Notamacropus eugenii: one gene and its partner. Each later gene encodes a partner of the first gene's protein in a complex. Links are inferred from orthologs where the notes say so. Each region holds a gene or a part of one and is shown on either strand. Other genes may lie near its edges. The genes, in order: IL22RA2 and IL22.

Region 1 (8,124 bases):
CTGCCTTCTGTGACAAGAAGTTTAGAAAGTGAGAAGAGTCAATGGATGAGGGGATGGGCCTAGACAAATGAGAATATGTATCAGCAGGGGTTGGGTTCAATTGCTAGGAAGAGTTCTTAGGCCATATTCTGCAGTACACAGTTGTATTGTGCAGCAACCTTATTTGCTGCAGCTTAATTTAGTTACAGTTTGGTTTAGAAATGACACAGAATCTCAAGTTTATATATATATATATATATATATATATATATATATATATATATATATATATATATATATACACACACACATACATACATGTGTGTATGTGTATGTATATATGTATGTATATGTGTGATATACATACATTTATATTATGTATATATGTATGTATATGTGTGATATACATACATTTATACATACATATAGTACTAGTATTTATTAATAATAATAATAAAGGTCTCAATCAGTAAGTCCCAATACTTATGTCTCAATCAGTAAATCTCAAGTTATGCCACAATCAGTAAGTCTCAGTAGGTGTGTCACAACCTTATCACAATCGATAAGCACTGATGGGGCAATTACCTACAAATGGATCACATATATGTGGCTGGGGAGTCCCAGGTCAGCCTCCAGAGTCTCGATGGGATAATCCTAAACTATGCATCAGTACCAAGGGGGGAAAGCGGGGAGGGGCTACTCACCCTTAGTAGTTCTTTCTAATCAAGAAAGGCATTTTGCCAATTATATGTGTGACTGGTGGGAAAGGAGCTGTTCTCAAAACATCCTTGAGAGCATTTCTGTTTAGGAATGTCTCATTCTGGGAGGCATGGCCAATCCTCTCTGGTAGCAAACATCACAAACCAACTTTTGGCTAGGAATAAGATTAGAGCCAGATTGCACAAGATCAGAATATCCTAATGAATTTATGCATCACAACAGTATACACAGTAAGATCCTGAAGTCCCATTAGATAGTATTGAAATGACATCTAAATGTCTGTGAGGGTCAGTTAATTACTTTTATTAGCAATCTGTGTTTATTCAATTCAATCAATTCTATTAAGAACCCAATATTAAAATTATCTTTCCTTCCCTACTCAATAAACCCCAGTATCTCCCTTTTGCTTTTGGGATCCAATATAAACTCTTATATTTTGCTTTTAAAACCCTTCAAAATCCAACTTGCTTTGTTCAGCATTCCTGAAGTCCAACCATTCTGAAGTCTACTATCTGTCCACCCAACCTCCCAGTATAGATGATGTTGGTATACCTAGATTCAGAAGAAAGCCACATCCTGGAAGGTATTCCTTAAAGAGGAAAAACGCCCCAAGCCTATACTCATTGGCTTGGCCCTTTCCTGCCAAAAGACCTTCCAAAATAATGAATAGTAAGTAAATCTATTTATCCTAGTATATAGAAAACAGAAATCAGATTATAATATACCAGAAAATACAGAGTAAAGGAGTTCTTTAGATTAGAGCAAGATAGGATCGCAGCTCAACCAAGAGAGAAGCCTGTATCTTGTCCAACAAGAAATTCCCTAAAGTTTCTAGGGAGACAAATTGGAAATCAGGGACATGTTGAGGATCTGGCTTTGCTTACACATTCACAGATTCTAAAGTCTCATAGTAGCAAGCACCCTAGCAACCCAGAATGACCTACTAGCACAGGTTCTTTGATCTGCTTTTAAAAGAAAGTGCTCAAAAAGAGGTTAACAATTCTGTTTTTAAATACATTCACTAGTTCAGGGGAAAGGTCAGCACACTGAACTTGATGAAAATACAAACAGAAAATATAAGCCGAGAAATTAGCATGAAGACCAACAAACAGGGCTCCAATTATCAGAGTAAAGCAATATTGCTATGCACTTTACATACATCACTATCAAGGGAGCACAAACTTCCGGTGGTTAGGGGGTTCTGAACCTACACTCAGAGTCTCAATCAGAAAACCAAAAGATCCTTCTCCTAAGTGAACCCCCAAAGTAAAATAGCAACTCAGAGTATATATACCAAAAGGCATCACAACCCTCGTGACTCAGTGCCTAATCAACTTAGTACCAAAAGGTGTGGAAACCTTATCACAAGCAAGTTCCTCCTGAGACAAGTCGCTCCCACAATGGGCTCCACATGAAGCGAGGGGAAGATCTTAATATCCCTTTAACATTACAAGTCTTTCTTTCCACATGTCTGGAGTAGTTTTTAAATGTTTGGCACAACATGTCCTCTCTCAAAGAAGGAACGTCTCTCCTCTCCAAAGCTCTTATATCAACTCTACTTCTCATGTAAGCTTATAACATTCAGAATTCTTTCCACCAAATGGAGGTTTCCTTCTGCATATGCAAATTTCCCCAGGATTACCTGGGAACCTGGACTAATAGATATTTCGTATATACTTGTACACATAAATTTGCTCTATTCCCACCCCAAATAAAGTAAGCTCCTTAAGGTCAGGTACTTTCATTTTTGTCTAAGTAGCTCCAATACCTATTGATTAATTCTATTTGTATCCACATTCATTGTTGACAAAAAGAAAAAGAAGGGTAGTTTTTTAAATGTCTTCTCATCCTCCAATCTGAGGTAGTTCAATAAAAAAAAAAGTGGCAATCTGCCTATAAATTCAGTTCCCATCATCATAACCTTTTTTCTGTGAATACTAATATTGATAAAAAAAAAAAGTTTCACAACTCTTAGATTAACCACATGAAGGTTTTTTTTTAACTCTAATTTAACTTTTTTTTTTGGTCACTGTTTTTCCCAATGGTTATAGTCTGCTGTATGCCGTCTACAATCATGAGATTGTATGACTTAGGAAGGGGAATTTTCCACCATTGAAACAGGGATTTTCCTTTTTTTTTTTTTTTTTTTTGTCAATTATCCTCTCAGACACTCAATCATTTTTTGGTCTCCTAAACTTTAAGTCTGAGAAGGAACATGGAATAGTGGATAGAGAGCCCTCCTCACTTGCTTTCAATTTCTGTGTCTGATACATATTGATTGGGTGATGTGGGCAAATGACTTAATTTTTCTGAATCCTAGGCAAATCTCTAAGATTATAAATCACAGATGCAGATCTTCATTGGTAGGAGTTTCCTCACTAGAAGTTTCCTTCACCAATGAAATCACAAGTCTAAACAAAAAGTCAATAAATCTTTAAGACTACATACACATCCCTATAGTTCTTCCTTCATAATGTCTTATGTTGTCTGGCTACCTAGAGTTTCATTTATCCTCCACATTACAGCCAAATTTACTGTTCTGCAACATTCCCCTGCTCAGAAACTATCCTGTGCTCTAGGGGCCAAATGGGATGGCCTTTTGGACTAAAATCTGGCCAGCCTTTTTGGTGGTGGTTTGGGGCAGGGGTGGGGGGTGAGGTGGGGTGTCTATGTAGATGGGTGGGACAGCTAGCTACAGTGAATAGAGAGTCATCCCTGACGTCATGAAAACTCATCTTCCTGAATTCAAATTTGGCCTCAGACACTTACTTAGGTAGCTGTGGGCAGTTCACTTAACTCTGTTTGTTTGCCTCAGTTCCTCATCTGTATAATAAGAAGGAGAAGGAAATGGCAAACTACTTCAGTATTTTTGCCACGAATATTCCAAATGGGGTCATGAAGAGTCAAACCTAACTAAACACACACACGCACATGCACACACACACACACGCACACAACATACACACAGATAGTTATGGTAAGGATGACGAGTGGGAGTTTGTTTATAGTATGGATAAGATGAAGACGTAAAATTAGTGAATATAGAGTCTTTGATCAAAGCCACCAGAGATCAATAAGTGAGCAAAAGAGTCACATCCATTTGCTTGAAGTCCATTAGTAAAATAGCGATTACTTTCTAGAAAAGTTTAGGCTAAATTCAAGTGTCGGTCCCGGTGGGTAGACTCAGGTCAACAAGTAGGGTTCTATTTCCAGTTCTTTTCATAAATCGTTAGATTTCAACCTGAAAGGAACTTTAGTGATCATCTAAAATTGTAAGATAAAGTCCTGGAAAGAATCTTAATAAACATCTAGCCTTTCTGCTTCATTTTATAGACCAGGCAAATGGAACCCTGGGAGGATAGATGACTATCTTAAGAAAAAAAAAACAGTTATGGTTTGGGTATAGATCTTCTGACTCCAAAGGGCAGATGGGTGACAGTAGATAGAGCCCTGGGCTTAGAGTCAGCATCTTTAGCATAACAGCATAGCCTAACCCTCCAGCCTTTTTCAGTGACTTAAATCAGAATCACCTGGAATCACTCAGTATTACCTTTCACTTAGGATGTAACAATTCACCAAATTTCCCCTATGAAAACAACAATATTTATTTCAATCTCCTTAATTTCCAGTTATATGATTTTTACAAAACTTTTGTTTGACCCTCTTACAATCTTCTAATGGTTACACAGAAATGAGCTTGAGACCATAATACCCTTAAACTCTATTAATCATTTCTCAAAATGATCCTATACAACATTCTTTGTCTTTGAAAACTGTATTTCTTCATACATACATTTCATCAGTTTTTAATTAATAAGAGTTCTGTGTCCCTTTAAGCCATCAGATATTCACATACAAATGAAGCATCACCTTTGTCTTTTACAAGGTGATAGAGTTCTATTCTTAACTTCTCAAATTCAATCTGAAAGCTATTTTTCTTTACACATATATTTTAGTCATTTTTATTAAATGATGATTTTTTTTCCTGTTCCTTTTAGCCTTCAAACTATTTATTTATAAAAACAGTAATACCCTATATCCTTTACCAGTTCATTTAACTTTTTTCTTCACACAAAAGTATCTTTTTCTGCCCCGTGCGGTAGTACTTTGTGGCAGTAATTTCAAAGGGACAGTACTTTAATGAAGCAGTTTTTAAAGACACTGTCACTTTAAAAAGGGACAGTACTTTAAAATACCTTGCAAAGGAAAATCTAAAAACATAGTTTTCACTTCCTTTTTTTCAACCTATTTATAGATATAAGGAACAGGGTAGATTGGAGGTGTCTTTTTATGCAGCAGAATATTTGTTTCTCATAGTCATAGTCTAACCATGATGCTTAAACACTGCTTTATAAGCTTCCTTATTGAATTCCTCTGGATTCATGGAGGAGGTAAGTGTTCCAATTTTTTTTTTTAATTTGTTATTAGGAGTCTTTTTCTTTTCATAAACTGAACAACCAAGACACTCTGGAAACCCCACTGGCTCTTTTCTTTGTCTCTATAGGATCTATTCCTTATCTTAATGTGTTTCGGGGTAGACAGCAAATTGAGGGGCATCAAAATAGTAAATTACATCTAGATGTTTATTATATAAATTAATAGTAAATTACATCTAGATGTCATGTAATTTTGTATTTTTGAAATTAATTTTTTCTTCTCTCAAAGCATTGTCACTTATTACCTCAGTATCTCTGTAAGTTTAGTGTAGCCCTTTAATGGTAGTAACCCCATTTTACATATAGGGAAGCTGAAGTTGAGTCTTTGCTGGAGCTCTAGATCTATGGAGTGTCTTATTTCTGTGTGCACGTATGTGTGTAGTGAGAAGAGGATTAAGTCACGAAAGAAGTGGCACTTTTTACCTCTAGGTGACCCAGTTTGCCATGGGTCCATGGTAAATGACTTCTGTTATTTCCTGAGAATCTTTTGACTTATTACCTGTTATAAATAGCTCTCATCCTTTGTTGAAACAAGGTGAGAAATAATCCTTGTTTTTGGTCACAGATTTTTTCCCAAGGGTTGGATTATCTTTGAGTAGAAAGGAAGAAGCAATAAAAAATTTAAAAAAATCATTTTTATCAGACACCAGGGTCATGAAGAGTCAGACGACTGAAATGAATGAACAATAACAACGTTAGGCATTGTGGAAAAATGAAGGACAAAGGATAAAGTTGCCTAAAAACTTGTAATCCTCAAGGGTTTGCCTTCAACATTTATTCCATCTGATCCATGAAGAGTTAAAACTATGTATACATTTTGTTGACAGATATCAGGATTTAATTACTTTTTTTTAAATGCATTTATTAAGCACCTGTTATGTGCAAGGGACCATATTAAGTACTGAATATTCAGAGATAAATCATGACAGTCCTTTACTCCAAGAAGTTGACATTCTAATGGAGGAAGGAGAGAGGTAAGTGGAAGCACAGGAGAGTGGGATACTAAATATTCTTTTTTTGATTGGGGATATCATCAACTCAAGTTTCCAACATGAAAGACACTGCTTTGAAAGGATTTAGTGGAAAAACCAAGGGAAGTGAGCAAGTGTGGGGCTACTTTCTGCTTCTTGTCAATTACATTCATTCACCTTTAGAAACAGCTTGTTATATTTTCCCACCCTCCAACTCTCCCTGTTTCTTCACCTCCCTATTAACTATCTAGGTCACCACACTATTGTCCCAGTCACTCCGGTTCATAACCTAGGTGTCATCTTGGACTCCTCAATCCCCACTTTGCTGGGAATAGGAAAAGGAATTGGGCTTAGAATGGTAAGTGATTTGCAAAAGCTAGGAAGGATTTGAACAGTATTTGAACTCTTTTCTTTCCAATGCTACATCTAGCATCCTATCTAGTATGTCTTCAAGCCTGTTACAGCATGTGCTGCTTATATTGTAGCTTTCCATTTGCCAGAGCTAACTTGTAAGCAGGCACACTGATGCTGGGGGAGACGATGATGCTAGCATTTCTGTGTGTGTGTGTTTATATATGTACAGACACATATATATACATACATACATACATATATCTTTAAGGATTGCAAAATGCTTTACCTGTGTTAATTCGTTTGAGCATTGCAATCTTCCTCTGAGGTGGGGTTCTGTTGTTATCCCTGGATTACAGATGAGAAAACTGAAGCACAGAGAAGTTAAATGTCTAGTTAGGGTCACACATCTACAAAGTGTCTGGCACAGAATTTGAATTAAAGTCTTCTTGACTTCAAGTCCTATGCCCCCTAGATGCCAAACTTGGACAGAGGGAACTGACCAGGTCCCTATCAAGAAGCATTGCTAGGAAGATGGAAGAAGGGGGGTTGATAGAAGGGAGGACAGACTGGAAGAAGGGGTGGATGGGGTGCATACTGTCCTGGGGTGGGGGTGGGAGGGATGGGGAGAAAATTTGGAATTCAAATTCTTATGGAAGGGAATGTTGAAAACTGAAAAAAAAAGTTATATATTCAAAAAAAAGCAGGGTTAGTCCACAAGCTTCATTCCATCCTATCAATCCAAGAGTTATGACCAAAATAACAGATTGGTATTAACCTATTTAGTACTACTTAATGCTAGTCATTTCCCTATATTTATTATCTCACATATAAGGATGGTACGACAACCAATAGAGTGACAGGCCTAGAGTCAGGAAGATCTGAGTTCAAATGTGAACTCAGACACTCACTAGCTGTGTGACCCTGGACAAATCACTTAATCCAGTATGCCTCATTTTCCTCATCTGTCAAATGAGCTGGAGAAGGAAATGGCAAACCACTCCAGTATCCTTGCCAAAAAAACCCGAAATTGGGTCATAAAGAGTCAGACATGACTAGAAAATGACTGAACAACAACAATGTAGATCTTGTTTGTGCATGGTTGTTTGCAAGTTGTCTCCTCCATTAGACTGTGAACTCCTCAAGAGCTGGGACTGTCTTTTGCCTTCCTATGTGTCCTCAACACTTAGCACAGTTGTCCTGACCTATATCTGGCCACTGGACCCAGATGGCTCTGGAGGAGAAAGTGAGGCTGGTGACTTTGCACAGCCCTGCCCCACTTAAATCCAATTGTCATGCAAGTCATGGCATCACCTCCCTGATATTTGAGAAGGAAGGAAAGCAAGAACAAAAACGTAGCACAGTGCCTGGTACATAATAGATCCTTATAATAAAAGCTTGTTCATATAGCTAATCTGATTCTGCTAATCTTGCAGAAAATGTCAGAAACACTTGTGTGGCTAGAAGTTACCACAACCCACTCAGTTACCTCGGGCTTTGATGATCAGCTACAACGATAATTCTGATGAATTTTTATCACCACACCTCTCATTCTACCCCTGCTTCCTGCTAGGAAATGCTCATGTGTTACAGAATTTTCAGATCTATTTAAGCAGGTCAATGAGAAAGCACTAAATTTGGGAGATGGAGGGGTTTGTATGTTTGTG
Region 2 (7,768 bases), on another chromosome or scaffold:
GTCAATCATAAATCAAGTAATCTTACCTCCAACCTCAATATTTGCCCAGGGTTCAACAAGAGAGATGGAGAAAGTGGGACTTGGCTCTCCCATCATAACAAATCTTGAGAAGACTGGAGGACAGGGTAGTGCTGGTGGCTCCACCACTCTTCCAACCTCAGGAACAATCCTTCCTCCAGTGTCCCGCCTGGTTGCATACTGGGCATGGTCCCAGAGGAGTCGGTCCTGGGAGCTTCCTCTGGAGGGGTGCCTTAGAGGGGCATTCTTTGGACCAGTGGCCCTCCTTGTGGCATTGAAAGCAGGTCTCACCACTACCCAAGTTACCAGGAATACCTTCAGGTCTTTTCCTGCCTATGGCAGCAGCCAAGAACTGAGCATGTGCTCTGTCTTCGTGCTCTTTTTCCTCCGCTTTGGCTAAGTCTCTGTTGTTGAAGACTCCAAAGGCTATCTCCAGTAATTGGGCTTGAGGTATTTAGGGTACCATTGTCAATTTCTGCAGTTTCCTCCTAATATCTGGGGCAGATTGATTAATGAAATACATGCTAAGGATTGCTGCCCCTTCCATAGAGTCAGGACCTAAATTTGTTATATTTGTTAATAGCCTCTCTATCAACCTGTCTTGGAAAAGGGCAGGGTTTTCCTTTTCTCTCTGAATAATTTCTTTAATCTTTTGAAAATGTATCAGATTGGAGGGCAGAGCCAAGATGGCCAAATAACAGTGAGAACTTTCTAGAGCATTCCCACCAAGCCCAGTCAAATATCTGTAAAAAAAATAGCTCTAAACAAATTCTGGAGCTGCAGAACTCACAGAAGGTCAGAGTGAAGCAAATCTCCAGTCAAAGATAGCATGGAAGGTTGCTGGGAAGTGTATATCACACCACGCAGGAGGCAGAGCGCAGTCCAATGTGGGCCATGTATGCACAGAGGGGACTTGAGTAGGCCTTGGGGAGACTAAATCTCTCATACGTGTGGTGATTTCCAGACTCCATGACCCCAAAATGCTGAGGATAAATTGGAAGGTCAGTGGAAAAAGCCTGTGAGACCAATGAAGAAGAGTAGAGTGGTCTGGCCCCAGTTCCAGGGCGGCGGGGGGGAGGGAACACAGCAGCAGCAGAGGTAGCTGCAGCCACTGTTTCTGGAGCTCTAGGCCCACTTACTGGGGGGGTAGGGAGGGAGGAGATCAGGAGGCTGACTATTCCCTCCACCCCCACTACAAGCGGAGAACTACCTTGACAAAGAGCTCAAAAGTCAAGTAAATGGCTGGGGAAATGAGCAAAAACCAGAAAAAGAATCAAACTATAGAATTTTACTTTAATGACAAGGAGGACCAAAGCATGTCAACAGAAGAAAACAAAGTCAAAGCTCCTCCATTCAAAACCACCAAGAAAAATATGAATTGATCTCAGACCATGGAAGGGCTCAGAAAGTGAAGTAAGAGAAGTAAAGCAAAAATTGGGAAGATAAATGAAAGTGATACAAGAAAATCATGAAAAATGAGTCAATTGCTTGCTAAAGAAGACCCCAAAAAAAATGCTGAAGAAAATAACACTTTTAAAAATAGACTAAGTCAAATGACAAAAGAAATCCAAAAAGGCAATGAGGAGAAGAATGCCCTAAAAAGCAGAAATGGCCACATGGAAAAGGAGATCCAAAAGCTCCCTGAAGAAAATAATTCCTTAAAGAATAGAAAGGAGCAGATGGAAGCTAATGACTTTATGAAAAGTCATCATAAAGATGACTTTATGAAAAATCAAAAAATTATAAAGTAAAACAAAGGAATGAAAAAATAGAAGACAATGTGAACTATCTCACTGGAAAAACAACTGACCTGGAAAATAGATCCAGAAGAGACAATTTAAAAATTATGGGATCACTGAAAGTCATGATCAAAAAAAGAGCCTAGACATCATCTTTCATGAAATTATCAAAGAAAACTGCCCTGAGATTCTAGAACTAGAGGGCAAAATAAATATTGAAAGACTCCACTGGTCACTTCCTGAAAGAAATCCCAAAAGAAAAACTCCTAGGAATATTCTAGCCAAATTCCAGAATTCCCAGGTCAAGGAGAAAATATTGCAAGCAGTCAAAAAGAAACAATTCAAGTATTGTGGAAATATAATCAGGATAACACAAGATCTAGCAGCTTCTACATTAAGGGATCAAAGGGCTTAGAATATGATATTCCAGAGGTCAAAGGAGCTAGGATTATAACCAAGAATCACCTACCCAGCAAAACTGAGTATAATACTTCAGGGAAAAAAAATGGTCATTCAATGAAATAGAAGACTTGCAAGCATTCTTGTTGAAAAGACCAGAGCTGAATAGAAAATTTGACTTTCAAACACAAGAATCAAGAGAAGCATGAAAAGGTAAACAGGAAAGAGAACTCATAAGGGATTTACTAAAGTTGAACTGTTTACATTCCTACATTGTAAGGTCACAAAAATGGGTCATACTTCGTGGTTCTCCAGGTGATACTGAGGCCAAACAGTGTTGCAAACGAACACCAACTTTTTCTTTTTAAGTTCTTTAGGGAAGCTAATTTTTTCCCAATTTTGTAAAAGACAACCCAAAGGCAAATTTTGAGGGTTTGAAGAGGATTAATCCATTACAGATGTGAGGCTGGTAGTCCCTCCCTCTGTAAAGAAGGATGTGGGAGTAAGCCTTGAAAAAAAAAGAAAGAAAAAGTAACATTTTCCTAATTCCCTAGCACTGAGGGAATTGAGAGTTGGGCATACACTTCCCAATAGGGTGTCTGTCCTTGTCTGTGCTTTGGAGGGTGTGCCCAGATTCACAACCTCAAACATAGCCACTGGACTGACAACCTGAGAGCATCAAGTTGAGTACAAGACAGCCTTTTATCTGCCTGATCTACTGGGACCTGAGGGGTCAGGTCCAAAAACCCCTTCCAAGGTGCCTGAAGGAGATAGGGAGAGGGGGAAGCTTACATACCTTCCAGTCTTGGCAGAAGAACTGGAAATTAGCAGTTCTTCCTGATCAGGGAACCAAAATGTTGAGGTTTGGGGTCCTGGGGATCCCAAAATACCGACATGCTGGGTTCTGCTCAAATGAATTCTACACAAATCTCCTTAAAGCCAAACAAAAACTAACTTTATAAAAGATTCGTCACATTGAATTGACTCTTAAGGAGCCTAAGCATTTGTAATGCTTGTATTAACAGAATCTCAGCTAGATAGAGTCTGAGCTGGATTGAATGTGAGCGCCTTCATGGAGGTGAGATGGAACTTAAATACAGGAAAAGAGTGAGGGAAGAATCCAGGCGTGGCCAAGCAGTCTCGGTCCCAGGGATGGTCTTGATAAGGGAGGTCAGCCTGCAATGTAGATCAAACCCAGGGAGGATGGGGGTGGTTGGTAGTCCAGACAATCCACAATCCTGGCTAGGTGACTGGGACCTCAAAAGAATGCTAAGTAATGGCCAATAGGGAATATGAAAAGAATGCTAATAGGATCCAAGGTAGGAATATGAAAAGAATGCTGAATCTAGTAAGGGGAATCCAAGGAACCCCCAAAGGCCAAGCTTTCCAGGGCCCCTCAGACAGATGGGACAAAGGCCCTCCAGTTCCAAGAGAAAAAGGTCTCAACTTGGACTTGTACCCCATTGAGTGGGATAGACTTGGTGAAGACTCCTCAGATTGTGGTTTTCTCCCAAGGGTGAGGTGGGGCCGGGAGGCTCGGGGCTGCAGTGTTTTTGGAATAGAATAGTTCCATATAAGGTATAAAACTGTGTGGTGTACTGGGGTCTCAATGATTGGACAAAACTTGCGTAATTCCTCGGTGTCTTCATTTCAAAGGGATTGGTTAGATTTCGTGTCTAGAATGTAAGACCATATCCTCAGCTAATGAGGATAATGGTCAGTGGGGGGAGGAGGGACTTGCGTTAGGGTTTATAAATCACTGTCCTGATTTTTGTCTTCGGCTTTCCTACTCCTACAGGTGAGCCCCGCTTCTCGAGAATCGAATAAATCACTTTTCTGTCATCACTTTGAGAGGCCTCTAAGTAACTGATTTATGTAGGGACCTGAGCCATCCCACACACCATCAATTTTACAGATGAGGAAATCGAGGCAAACAGGGTTAAGTGACTTGTCTAGCATCACACACAGACAGCGTCGGTGGCTTAATTTGAACCCACGTCTTCCTAACTTCAGATCCTGCACTCTATCCACTGTACCACCTAACTGCCTGGCATGTAATAGGTGTTTGATTAATATTTATTGAACTGAATTGCCTGAACTGTTGCAAAAATCTGCTGGTTGGTTCCCCTGTCTCAGCTATCCAAAATCCTGTCTTTTCTCCACTCAGTTTCCAAAGTGATCTTCCCAAAACACTTACCATCACTCCATTTCAGGAAACTCCAATGGCTTCCTATCACCCTGAAATCAAATAAAAAATTCTGCTTGGCTTTTAAAGTCCTTCACAGCCTGGCTCCTTCCTCCCTTTCCAGGCTTGGTGCACTTGATTCCTCTCCACTTCCTCTACCGTCCACTGAGCCCCAACATTTCCAAGGACGGTGCCCAACCCCCACATCCCTTTCTCCACAGTCTATTTCATGGATTCCTTGGCTTCCTTCAACTCAGTTCAAACCCCTTTTCGAAGAAGCTTTTCCTGGTCCTCCCTCACTGCTAGTGTCTTTGCTCAGAGATCACTTTCCACTTAGACTGTATTCATCTTGTTTGCACCTAACTGTTTTCATGTGGTCTCTCCCATTAGAATACAGTGACTCCTGAGGGCAGAGACTCTTTTTTACTTTTTTTGTATCTTCAATACTTAGTAGAGTGTCTAGCTAGCATACACTTAGTGCTAAATAAACGCTTTTTCACTTATGTGTGCCCTATAAGTAAAGAGAAGAGATTAAAGATACTGATTCTCTAATGTCTTCCTTAACATTCTTATCCTCCCCCACTACAAAAAGGTGAAAGATCTGGATTCATCTTCTATTGTATTGCAACAAAAGCTTTAAAGGAAGTACAGAAAACTTTGGCCACCTTGCTCTTGGAGGAAAAACTTTGTAAAAAGATTACTACAGTTCCATGAAATAACTTTCTGGAGAAACCAAACACTCTTGATGTTTTTTTTTATTTGAAAATGTCTAAAAAGTTTCAACACTTCATTATACAAATAACTTTTCCACTTTCAAACATTAAAATGTAAGACAAAGTTCTTATACAAATGAAAAACACAGACCAAAAATATACATTATTTTTAAGCAAACTTTCTCGTATAAGATAAAAAATATATATACAGTTAATATTTTCAACCTAAATACAATTATTTTAATCATACTAAAAGTAACTTTCTGAAGGAAATTTTTTTAAAATTAAAAAATACTAAAAAAAAATTTTTTAAATTAAAAAATAGTAGAAGTGAACATTGTGGGTACACATTCAATTTATGCTATCTTTAATTTATAAACATAGGTAACAGATCCTACAAAACCACACATTTCAAACTTAGTTCTTCATTTTTACAGTTTAACTTTTCAGAATACTCTTGGTAACATGGATGTAACTCTCAATCCTACCAACAACGCTTGATAAGAAATAGTTAAATTCAGAATTGTGAAGGACTGAGTAAATCCATTAGTGCCTTTTTAGATAAGTCTAAAATGGCAATGAATTTAAAGTTAAAACTCAATTTGTCTACATAAAGAAAACAAATTAAATGACTGAACTGAAATGGCTATTAGAATACAATTATTCATATCCCTAGACAAAACCAACCTTCCCTTCTCCCCAAAATACAAGAATCCCAAATACTTTAAAAACCTCAACTCCATATGGAATGAAAATAAAAATAATCACAGAAATAGTAAACAAAAATGGAAAGAGCTAGCCATAAAGAGCACTATTTTTTGCCCCAAAAACTCTCTTTCCTTTTCTGAGCACGTGCCAAAGTTTGAGAAGCCATCAGACTAGAGGCTGCAGACCGAGCAGAGATCTGGGACAATCTGTCATCATCTACAATGGAAAAATCCACAATTACAAGTCAGGGTAACCAAAACCAATCATTCCTTGTTGTGTTCATAACAATTCAGTAGAAAATTCAGCCACAAATACCAAAAAGTCCTATAACATAACAGCATCAGAACAGGAAAGCTAGAAGCCAGAAGCTCCAAGGTGACTTAATAGATCAAACCCTTCATTTTACAGATGAGAGAACTGAATCCCAAAAATGTGAAGTGACACAGGACAAAGTCACCAAACTGACAAACAGGAAAAATGGGCCCAGATCCCAGCCTCCTTGTTTATAACCCATCAACACCACTCATGATTCTGGGTTTCTGTTCTTAAAAGCAGAATATAGATGAATATGCTCCATACTATGAGTATTATGGCATATCTTTAAAACTTTAAGACAATTTAGAGAAAAAGAAACTGCTTCTAATTTCAGGAGCTTGTAATTCAATTAAGGAGGGCAGCTAGGTGGCAAGGTATAGACTACTGTGCCTGGGGTCAGGAAGACTCATCTTCAGGAGTTCAAGTTTGGTCTCAGACACTTATTAGGTGTGTGACCCTCGGCAAATCACTCAACCCTGTTTGCCACAGTTTTCTCATCTGTAAAGTGAGCTGGAGAAGGAAATGGCAAACCACTCCAATATCTTTCCTAAGAAAATCCCAAATAGAGTCTCAAAGAGTTGGACACAAATGAAAAATAAATTCAATTAAGTACTCAATTTTCTTCCTCAGTTTTCTGTTCAGGAAAATTTGGCTGAAAGCTTAATGGGGAAAAAAAAAAAGTCTATCTTTAAAAAAATGTGCATTAAGAAATCTCTCAAGTATTATCATTTTTAAGTGTATAATGATTTAATAACTATTTGCTAAATCTTCAAAAAAGACACCTCAGAGGGCTACTAATGCAGGGGGAAAATATCAAACCCTGAAATATGGGAATATAAATACATGTATTTTAGTAATTAAATTAATAATTGAGAAATTCAAGCATATTTTGTTAATAATCACTTATACTTTCTACAAACATTCTCATCAAGCTTTCAGAGCTCTTCCTACTGAGACTAATAACAATCAGTGAGGGTGAAAATTATGCACTGAAAAAAATGTATTTGCTCTTCAATTAGACAGAAAAGGGTTTCTGAGGAAAAAATATACAAGTAAACACAGGCAATTAAAATATATAAAATATTACTCTAGACCCAAATCCTAATCTGTGGGCTGGATCCATGAAATGGTTACTTTTAGAAACCTTACATATTATCAAATCTTACTCAGTTTTTAGTAAATTACCTTCATCATTAATGACTTCTTGGTGAGGTAAATGGTAAAGGCCTGTTCTTGGGCTCACAAGGTTTCCTATGGGGGGAAAAAAGCAAAACAGATTTTGTTCTGGCTCTAAACAGCTGATTCCTTTATACAAAACCACTTATAGAAGGCAAACTACAAAATATCAATTTTATCATTTTTATAAATATAAAAGCCTGATACAGCTGTCTAGTAAAGGTGTCCACTAACACGTGGACAGGCTGTCAGACTTACAGTGCTAACTAAGATGATAATTGCTAAGCTGGACATGCACGCAGTTAGACAATGCCCATTATTCATTTGATTTTTAGGGGATTGTGGTGAGGGGAAGGGTCCTTCAGGGGCTGCTTTTAGCAATCTGAACTGTCTCTACTGTACTTTAAATGTCACTTGTTGGATGTAGAAACTAACAGCATATGAAATACTGCTGAATCACATCATTTTCACAATATGTGTGTGGCTATGAAGTAAGAGGTTTGTCCTACGCGTTA

The links.
Region 2: the proteins of IL22RA2 (region 1) and IL22 are in contact, whole or in part, in a crystal structure (PDB 3G9V), measured with the Homo sapiens proteins. The link is inferred for Notamacropus eugenii from reciprocal best matches to the Homo sapiens genes IL22RA2 and IL22. Residues at the interface, in NP_443194.1 of Homo sapiens: Lys65, Ile66, Tyr99, Gly100, Gln101, Arg102, Trp104, Gln128, Glu129, Pro130, Tyr132, Met148, Pro150, Arg151, Thr153, Trp155, Trp156, Glu157, Glu200, Pro246, Met247, Leu248, Asp249, Arg250; in NP_065386.1 of Homo sapiens: Phe47, Gln48, Pro50, Thr53, Asn54, Phe57, Met58, Lys61, Ser64, Leu65, Asp67, Asn69, Thr70, Asp71, Val72, Arg73, Leu74, Lys162, Gly165, Glu166, Asp168, Leu169, Met172, Arg175, Asn176.

Annotation. Positions count from the first base shown.
Region 1 is NC_092873.1:223,567,963-223,576,086, reverse strand, and holds the start of IL22RA2 (interleukin-22 receptor subunit alpha-2), read left to right. Parts: upstream 1-4,948; 5' UTR 4,949-5,029; coding exon 5,030-5,090; intron 5,091-6,746; exon of another isoform or gene 6,747-6,825; intron 6,826-8,124. UniProt on the Homo sapiens protein: Isoform 2 is a receptor for IL22. Binds to IL22, prevents interaction with the functional IL-22R complex and blocks the activity of IL22 (in vitro). May play an important role as an IL22 antagonist in the regulation of inflammatory responses.
Region 2 is NC_092874.1:245,595,514-245,603,281, forward strand, and holds the start of IL22 (interleukin-22), read right to left. Parts: upstream 3,223-7,768; 5' UTR 2,953-3,222; intron 1-2,952. Other genes in the region: nuclear protein MDM1, read right to left, coding at 5,866-5,978, 7,263-7,328. UniProt on the Homo sapiens protein: Cytokine that plays a critical role in modulating tissue responses during inflammation. Plays an essential role in the regeneration of epithelial cells to maintain barrier function after injury and for the prevention of further tissue damage.